Oryzias latipes: one gene and its partner. The protein of the gene in region 1 purifies or fractionates together with the protein of each later gene. This does not show direct contact. Links are inferred from orthologs where the notes say so. Each region holds a gene or a part of one and is shown on either strand. Other genes may lie near its edges.

Region 1 (4,339 bases):
TATTTTTGTGACACAATTCATAGACAAAGTAATTCAAATATCTTTACTGAAAAATACAAATTAAAACAACAACAAAACGTAATCACTAAGAGTAAAATCACAAATTACAATTTAAAACCACTTTGAGACAAATATATAATGTGCCGGTTATACAGCTGTCATACACTAAACTACAATGATTTTAGAAAGAAGTTGTTATCAGTAGCAATTCTAATGGGAACTTCTAATATGGGTTGACATTAAGTACCTGTTGGGGCAGCTAGAAGGGCTTCTTTGTCATGTTTATGTATTTTAAAGCCTTGAAGCCCTTCAACACAACAGTTGCTTATTTATTACAACAGAGATCGTCTGTGTCTGTGGGCTTTGACGCTCTGCTAGGGAGCTAGTTGCGGGCCATTTCTTAATAATTACGGCATTTAGTTGCAGTCAGTTGCCTCAAGTCCCACTCCAATCTTCTTGTGATCTATTTTTCCCAGTCGTCTTACAATTATGATAATCACGGACAAGGAAAAGATGGATCTCTTTGTCTACAAGTGGATACAACAGAATGGAGCAGAGCAGGGAGCTTGTGGCCCACCCTGCATATTTTTTGTACGTCACAAATACAATCTTCAAATGCCATTTTTTCGTCTGCTCCTAATTCATGACGATGTGAATAAAGAAATACTCAGAAATGCAGTTTTGATACTAATTTTCTTAATATGTCCTCATCCTTTATGAAAAATGGCCACAGGAACATGTTAAAAACACAATTTTCATTGGAGTCAGTCTTTAAGTCTTTAAGATTGTACGCTGGGGTGTTGTTGGGGTGTGACAACTGTCCCACCGTGTCCAGACTCACTGCTATGTGGATGAAGCATCCAGTGAATTTACATCAACAACATATAGTTCTAAACATTCTCAATAAAAGCACTTTATCGAAATGTGAATCCCTCAGAAGTAAATTAATAAATATATGGTGTAAATTTACTCTTAAAATGCAGATTAGAGTCATTAGATGACAAATTAAAGCTCAGATTTCACACAATGTAAATTTCATTTCTATGATCATCAGCTATATGCAGCGAACCGTGTAAAGAAAACACTTTTTTTATATTGACAGAAAGTCCACTGCCAGCTGCACACATGTGAGAGGCTTGAACAGGTCAGAAAAAAAACTTCAGAGGAGCATCAAAAGCCTTTTGAATCTTCTTACCAACTTTTGGAGAGAAGCCAGCTCCTCTGGAAGATAACAAAGTCCTGTCCGGTTCAGTTTCAGCCATCGTAAGCTGCTCATACACTTTACATGCTCAGGAAAATAACCCCCCTGTGGAGATAGGCAAAGAAACTTGTTTGCCAACACAACAAAATCATTCCAGATTTACACACATCTGATAACTCCATTGAGACGGACGGACGGACAGATGGATAGATAAAAATTGGCAGTGTTTTCACAGAAGCTGCATGACACATGCTGACATCTGGATTTCCTAACATTACAGACAGACAAATGCCTTGAATTTAACAAATTAACACAATAAAAAGTTAGCGGTTGGATGGTTCGGTTGGCTGCGCGTAGGACTGGCGCATGGGAAACCAGGGATCGCGATGAGTTTCATCCAGTGTGGGTCCTTGGACAAGACCCTTAACGCGGCTCCTTAACTATGCAGCCACAAAGGGGCCCAAGTCTGGGTCTCCCTGTGCCAGTCCATAGCCCGGTTAAAATAGAGGGTTCTGTCAGGAAGGGAATAAATGAAAGCGGAATTTCTTTGGCGAGTCCTGCAGGGATATGCCGAAAGGTAAATAAAAACAACACATCAAAAAGATTATTCGCCAGCAAATTCGGACGTGTTCCAATACTCCTTTAGAATCTGGTGAGTCAGGCTCAAAAAAAAGTTAGCATGATGTCAAACTTTTATTATTATCCAACTGAGTTAAATAAAAATGGAAATATTAAGTCTTCCTTGTGACAACAGTAAACGCCTGCCATTTCAGTATTTCTTTTTAAGTCCAGGATCACTGATTGACAGCAACAACTTGAGTTTACACTGTTGACAACAGTGTTGCAATCCCATAATAATCAACCTAAACGGGGCTTGGATACAAACTTAACCTGCTGTGAGTGTGACGGGTCTAAAGTTCGGTGAGGTGATCAATTCCCCTGTGTTTAAATTAACTTAAACTAACTCGATGAAAACCAGAACTTACTAACTAAAGCCATGTCAACACCGGGTTAACAAAACAACCCAACAAGCGCCAACATTCACCTTTAACAAAAGATTCTAAATTAATCCCAAACATTTGAACAATTTAGATCAAAAGTGAATGTCTTAAGCAATAATACACTTAGCCAAAAGTACGCTAACTAAACAAGCAGAGTAGTAGTGATATGTATGATGATGAGTGGCAAGTGCTGTAGCCCTACCCTAGCAACTCAAAACTGTTTTCCTGTAGAGTTACGGCTCTTATTTTATTGTTTAAACAAACATACCTGCCTTAAATACAATTCCGCATACTGCTCAAAGGGTGGTGTCTGACACACACGGGAGTGTTTTTTCTAACAAGAGGCTAACGCCCAACCAATGTTCGCAATCATGTTAAGCTATGCTAGTGTCTTAGCTACTTTCCCTGCTATAGTATAGGTGAACAATTCTCATACAGGAACTAGCTTAGCCTAGGATTCATTTAATATGACTAAAATTAGAGTTATAAATAATGCGAGTGTAGTTTTAAAGAATCTTACTTTGAAGTCATTTCCACTGAGGTCTACTCCCCTTATGAAGGGAAGAACTCCGGTGGCAGCCATTTCTGACTCGCTGATGTCAACTGCTCAAACCTCTACTATTTTGGGTCGGGAGGGAGAGACTGTAGATTTGTTACCGCCCCCTTCTGGCTCGAGAGGAAATGCATTTTGTTTATTTGGAGAGCTCCCCTTTCCCCGTTGTCGTTATAAGGTCACACTTGATTGCAGCCACAAAGTTGTACGCAGAAAGATCACAGCCATAGAAAATAAGTCATAAATAAATAATAATTACTGCTGCCGCGGGTCATAATAATAATAATAAAATAAAGGGCCAAGGAGCATAAATCTGACTTAAATCTTTTAGAATTCTGACTTTTTTCTCAGAATTCCTAGATCAAAGTCAGAATTCTGACCACCAGACCATCAGAATTCTGTGATTAAATTCAAAATTCTAAGATTAAAGTCCGATTTGTTTCGGCCCTTTATTCCTGATTCTCCAAATCATCTTCCTTAAACATGACAATAATAGCTTAACATATGGTAAAACAAACAAACAAATAAATAAAGTGAATGCAGCTAGAAAGAACAAATGCAACAAATAGTGGTAACACAAAGTAAACCCAAATTTAGTACTGCAGAGCTTTTTTAAGGTTACATCTTGTAAAATTTAATCTTTAATAACATTTTAAAAACTGTTCCAATTTAAAAGGAAAATAAAATTAAATCAAGCAAATAGTCGAGAAAAGCTAAAGAACATATTGTTATGGTAATCATTAGTGTCATACTAACAAGAAAATATCACTACACGTATACATTCCCCACATATCTAAATTCACAGAATTTGGAAATTCTGTTGACATTTCCCATACGTTTTCACACATTTGTATTTTGATATATTTTAATGATTTTATACACATTTCCAGTTTAACAAAAAAAACATTTGAAAATGAAGTTTCTTTTCAGCACTCTTCTTTTCCATAGTAAAAAATTGTTAAGCAGAGGACTAAATCACAACAGAGATCTTATGTATTTGGCAGAAGGATTCCAAATGTCACATAATCTCTGGAAATAGAATCCAGGAACAGAATTTTTGGTTTTATCCAGTGTTGCAGGTAGCCACCAAAGTCATAAATGGCTACATATATATACTGAAGCTACTAAACTAGCAAAGTAAAGCAGATAAATGAAAAATAAGTACATGATTATTCCCACAGTAAAACTAAGTATGAGTTAAATATTGTAATATTATAAAATTCTCGTTTTTTAGTCTGAGAAATATTAATACAGTGCCATGTTTTGTCCTCTGTGGTTACCTTTGTTCTCATGTTTTTTTTATCATTAAGTCATTTCTAAACTTTGTATCGATTATATTTATTTTTATTTCAACATTTTTGCCTTATTTCTAGGAGCTTCATTTAGTCACAAATATCTTGAGGAAATCTTTTTAAAAAATTGAGACATCATGAATGTATGAAAGCTTGAGGTATTAACCCTTGTGCTATCCTAGTCACTTTAACCTTTGGAGTTGGGTCATCTAGACCCACTAGACAGGGCGCTGAACCTATTTTCTTCAATGATTTGTGATCTTCACTGGTGTTCATGGATTACATGAAATCT
Region 2 (4,144 bases), on another chromosome or scaffold:
AAAGGACAGTTTCACTGCAAAAATGCTCTTTTTTGAAATCTTTGAGTAAATTCATGTTCAGAAATCCCCCTGAAGAAAAAAACTGCAGGGATGGAATCATGAAAACAAACAAAAATTGGTCCAGAGGTTAGAAAAATGTCATTTGTATATATATTAACAGAGAACCCATGTTACATTGTTTATACATACTTTTCATTAAGTTTACCATTCTGAATAAATAGCTGTATTTATTCAGAAATACTTATATGAGACATACTACATAACATAAAAGGAACCATAGGATTGCATTTAGAAAACGTTTAAATCCTATAGTTAAGTCCTGCAGACTCACATCTGAGTTTCTCACCTTTTAATATTTTCCTGGAGCCTGCCTCAGCGCGAGGTTGATACGTTTGGTTTTTTACAGAATGATCCATCTTATATGTTAGAATTTAACACATCAGAACGTACGTAAACACATGAATCAGGAATTGGACTTTGCTGTATTTTTGTTTCCAGTAAATTGAAAATGACTGAAATTTAAAGGTTTAGTTGATCAAAGTATTTAAGAATTCATGAATGAAGCAATTGTCTGCCGCACCACAAAATCACAAGAACGAAGTGTTTCAATTTAAGGAGACATGATATGAAACAGTGGAGAGGAATCGGTTAAAGAAACCAAATCACAAATCACCTTTAAATAACTTGTTAAAAGAGCATGCTTCAAAAATACTGTCAACTTTCAAATGTGTTTGCTTTGTCCAAAGAATAAAAAAAGGGGCAAAAAAAAAGTTTTGTTCTTTCTGTTCATTTTCCTTTCTCTTTTTGAAGGTCTTGTGAAAATTATTTTGTTTTTCTTGTTTTATGAAATTGAAAAGAAAAAAAATAAAATCAGCCAAACAAAGGCTAAAATTATTACACCACATTTATAACAACAAAGCCATTTATAAACAATGTCAGAAAGGCAGTTACATTAGAAAATGTTTGTCCACAGTGAATTCTGGAAACGCAGAAAATAGAAATTATAATATAATTAGTTATAATCCTTAAGAAAAATGTATTGGGTAGTTGTTTGTGATGTTGGGTATTTGTAGACCCGTATACTTCATTAAAATGTCATTTCTTTAATAAGTAAAACGCCGATGATAAAACACATTAGCATCAAAAGTTCTGTTAAAAAGATTATGGTTTTAAAATCGACTTTTCCCTAAAAAGTACAGAGAAAAGTTGCTGCTCTGGTTCGTTTTCTCATTAAATTGATCAAAGGACTGTGCATCGAAATTCCGGATGGTCCGTGAACACAGCAACACACCCTAATTTTTTTTCCAACATCCGGGACTTCCCGACCGAAGGAGCGTGTGGAGTGGGTAAGGAGGGCAGCCGCGAGCGCTGGAAAGAAAGGCGGACTGATGACAGCTGTCAATGTGGACGAAAAATACCGCTAGCGCACGAAGACTCGGCAAATGGGTTTCCTCTGAACCACCGGTGGACGACAGTTGGGCTGTACCGGTCATCTTTAACGTAAAGGTAACGTTTGGGGTGGAAAACTGGACGGCGGGCTCAGTCCCAGTTGCCTTGTCTGTCAGGAGAGTGGAGGTTAGCCTGGCTAGCTATGCTAGCTCACACACAGCAGACATGAACGGTCAAACTAGGCTTTACGGTTAAAGCTATCGGTCAGTGTCGGTGACATTCATGACCGCAGGGAACGTCTAGACACAGTTTCTATACTAGAACGCGGTAGAATTTAGTCCCGGTACGTTAAACGGATAAACTTTTGAATCGGAATTCCATAATAAGAAGTGCTAGCTAGCGAGTTAGCTTAGCAAGTAGCTGGCTCTTCACAGTAACTGTGAAGGCAGCTAAATGTAGCCAGAAAACACAAGCCACGGTGCGGGGTTTTTTTTACTCTGTGACGTAGATGGAAGTACAGTTTTTTTAATTCAGTATTGTCCTTGTGATTTAAACATGAGGGTATAGAGGCAGCTTTGTTGGAGTGTGTGAGGAGGTGTGCGCCTCCCCGCTGTGTGTGTCGCTTCCATAGACCCACTAGTTTGGTTCAACAGTTGGGACAGAAATTCTGCTTTTCTTAGGTTTGGATCGCTCACTTGAAACCATTTTCACAGGGTTTACATCACACATCTGCATGATGTATTAAAGCTCAGATTTTTGACTCATCCGGGTGACTCTACCCCCCCCCCCCCCCCCCCCCATGATGTCTTCAGCTGTTTATTTGAAGTCGTCTAAAACACATTTCATCACGAGCTCTGCTGAAATACCTGCTGATCATTTCAGGCGTGACGGGTCTTAATGAACAAAGCCCAGCTTTAGTTTGATGTTCTGAGCTTCAGCAGCTCCTGGTGTTCCTCCAAGGCTGCTTCATGTCAGCCACAGCTGCTTATCAGACTCCGATGGGCTCCACACTCCAGGGACCGTCATGTTCCTGCAGGGAATGACGCCGTGTCAGCTCACCGGTTGCTTTCTTTGCTGACTCATGGGAAAATGGGGATCAAAATGATATTAAATGAGGTGTTTAAAGCAAAAGCACATCTTTCTATGGTTCCCTCGCCTGTGCGTAAAGCATACTCTAATGTTTAGGCATCCTATCCAACCTGTTGAATGAGTTTTTAATTCCCTGTCTGCATTCATCGTGAAGTATATTCAGTATAGGATAATGACACACAGCCTGGTCTCTTTTCCAGCCTTACACATATTTGTTGAAGCTTGAGGAACATCATGGGGACACAAGGCCCTGGGAGGAAACGCGCCCCTCTGAAAGACCGCTTCTCAGCAGAGGAAGAAGCTCTGAGTAGTATCGCTCGAGAGGTGAGTTATTCAGTCCCATTTAAAGCGTCAAACCTGCAATAGGTCTGCTGGCATTTTTGCTTTGTTGAATCAATACTAATGGGATTTCTGCAGCTTAAATGTTCTTCTTTAACCCTATCATGACGGCTGTGAGAGGCTTTCAGAGACTGATCGTGGAAGCACATTTGCGTTTTTATGTTTAGCAAATTCTGCATTTTACAATCACTATATAGATATTTGGGACTTTTCTGTGGAGAATAGAAACAATTACAGCTCAAGGTATCATGAAAACTCCTGACACCTTCAGTTATAAGCTTTTCTATGTTTTTTAAAACATTAAAACATAATTATTTTGCTTCTTCAGCTCAGTTTTACATGGAGGTAAAACACAAACCAGCTAAATGCCCCAGAAAAGGTCCATGTTTTCCTGTTTCTTTATTAGCCTCAGATAAGTTCACTGTGGAAGCCAGTTGTTGCTGTGATAACAAAATTTGACATGATGCTTTTTTATGTATGTATTGGCTGTTTGAGTAATGATTGATTAGACCTAATAGTGCAGCATTTTTCCCTCTCTGTGTGGCGTGTCCCCAATGTCGGCGTGTTGCTGCAGCGCAGACGTGGAAGCATGCAGAACCGTGTGGATGTGGTCAAAGCTGCAGTGTGACGCGCTCTTTCACGTGTGGGAACACAGGTTTTACCAGTTAGCTTTTGTTGTGACCAAAGCCATCGGAGACGGCTGGTTTGGACTGCAGAGGTTGAAATGTTTTTGTTCGGGAAGGAGAGAAGACAGGCTGAAGACGGAGGCTGGCTGGCTTGTGAGGACATGCCCTCAGATGATTCCATTTTGCCTTTCTGCAGGTCTTCCATTCCTTTGGGTTTTCCAGAGCGGGGCAACTGAAACAGAAAAACCTGAGTTCTTTTCTCCAGGCCTGAACTTTGTACAGTGGTTTGGTTTTTGCATTTAAAAGCAGCGATTGCCTGATAAGAATCCAATCTGTTCCTTTCAGAGAACATGGGATTGTGTTGGAAAGCTGCACAGAGCGCCTCATTCTTCAGCAGAACATGAACGGCTCCGTTTGCTCTCTTTATAGTCATGCAGGCTGATCATAGAAACATGAGTCATCTGACCCTCACAGGCAGCTCCTAAAGCTGAATCTCTTTGTGGAGCAAAGATTAGATTAACAGGGAGTTTGGGGGGGGGTCAGTGTAACCTGCATACCCTTCCAGCCCAGATGCATCTTGGTCACACTTGAGCGTTTGTTTCGTGGTTTGAAGTAAGGAGAAAAAGGTGCTTGGCTCCAACATCTGAGACCAAATGGGAGTTTCAGCCTGACTCCGTGTTTGGAGGTTTTAGTTTTAACAG

What was found.
Region 2: the proteins of flii (region 1) and lrrfip2 purify together in Homo sapiens (affinity purification with mass spectrometry; 3 studies listed by BioGRID and IntAct, with this or other methods). This does not show direct contact. The link is inferred for Oryzias latipes from reciprocal best matches to the Homo sapiens genes FLII and LRRFIP2.

What each region holds. Positions count from the first base shown.
Region 1 is NC_019866.2:18,081,500-18,085,838, forward strand, and holds the start of flii (protein flightless-1 homolog), read right to left. Parts: upstream 2,831-4,339; 5' UTR 2,786-2,830; coding exon 2,723-2,785; intron 1,307-2,722; coding exon 1,196-1,306; intron 1-1,195. UniProt on the Homo sapiens protein: Is a regulator of actin polymerization, required for proper myofibril organization and regulation of the length of sarcomeric thin filaments. It also plays a role in the assembly of cardiomyocyte cell adhesion complexes.
Region 2 is NC_019873.2:29,719,878-29,724,021, forward strand, and holds the start of lrrfip2 (leucine-rich repeat flightless-interacting protein 2), read left to right. Parts: upstream 1-1,303; 5' UTR 1,304-1,506; intron 1,507-2,678; 5' UTR 2,679-2,712; coding exon 2,713-2,802; intron 2,803-4,144. UniProt on the Homo sapiens protein: May function as activator of the canonical Wnt signaling pathway, in association with DVL3, upstream of CTNNB1/beta-catenin.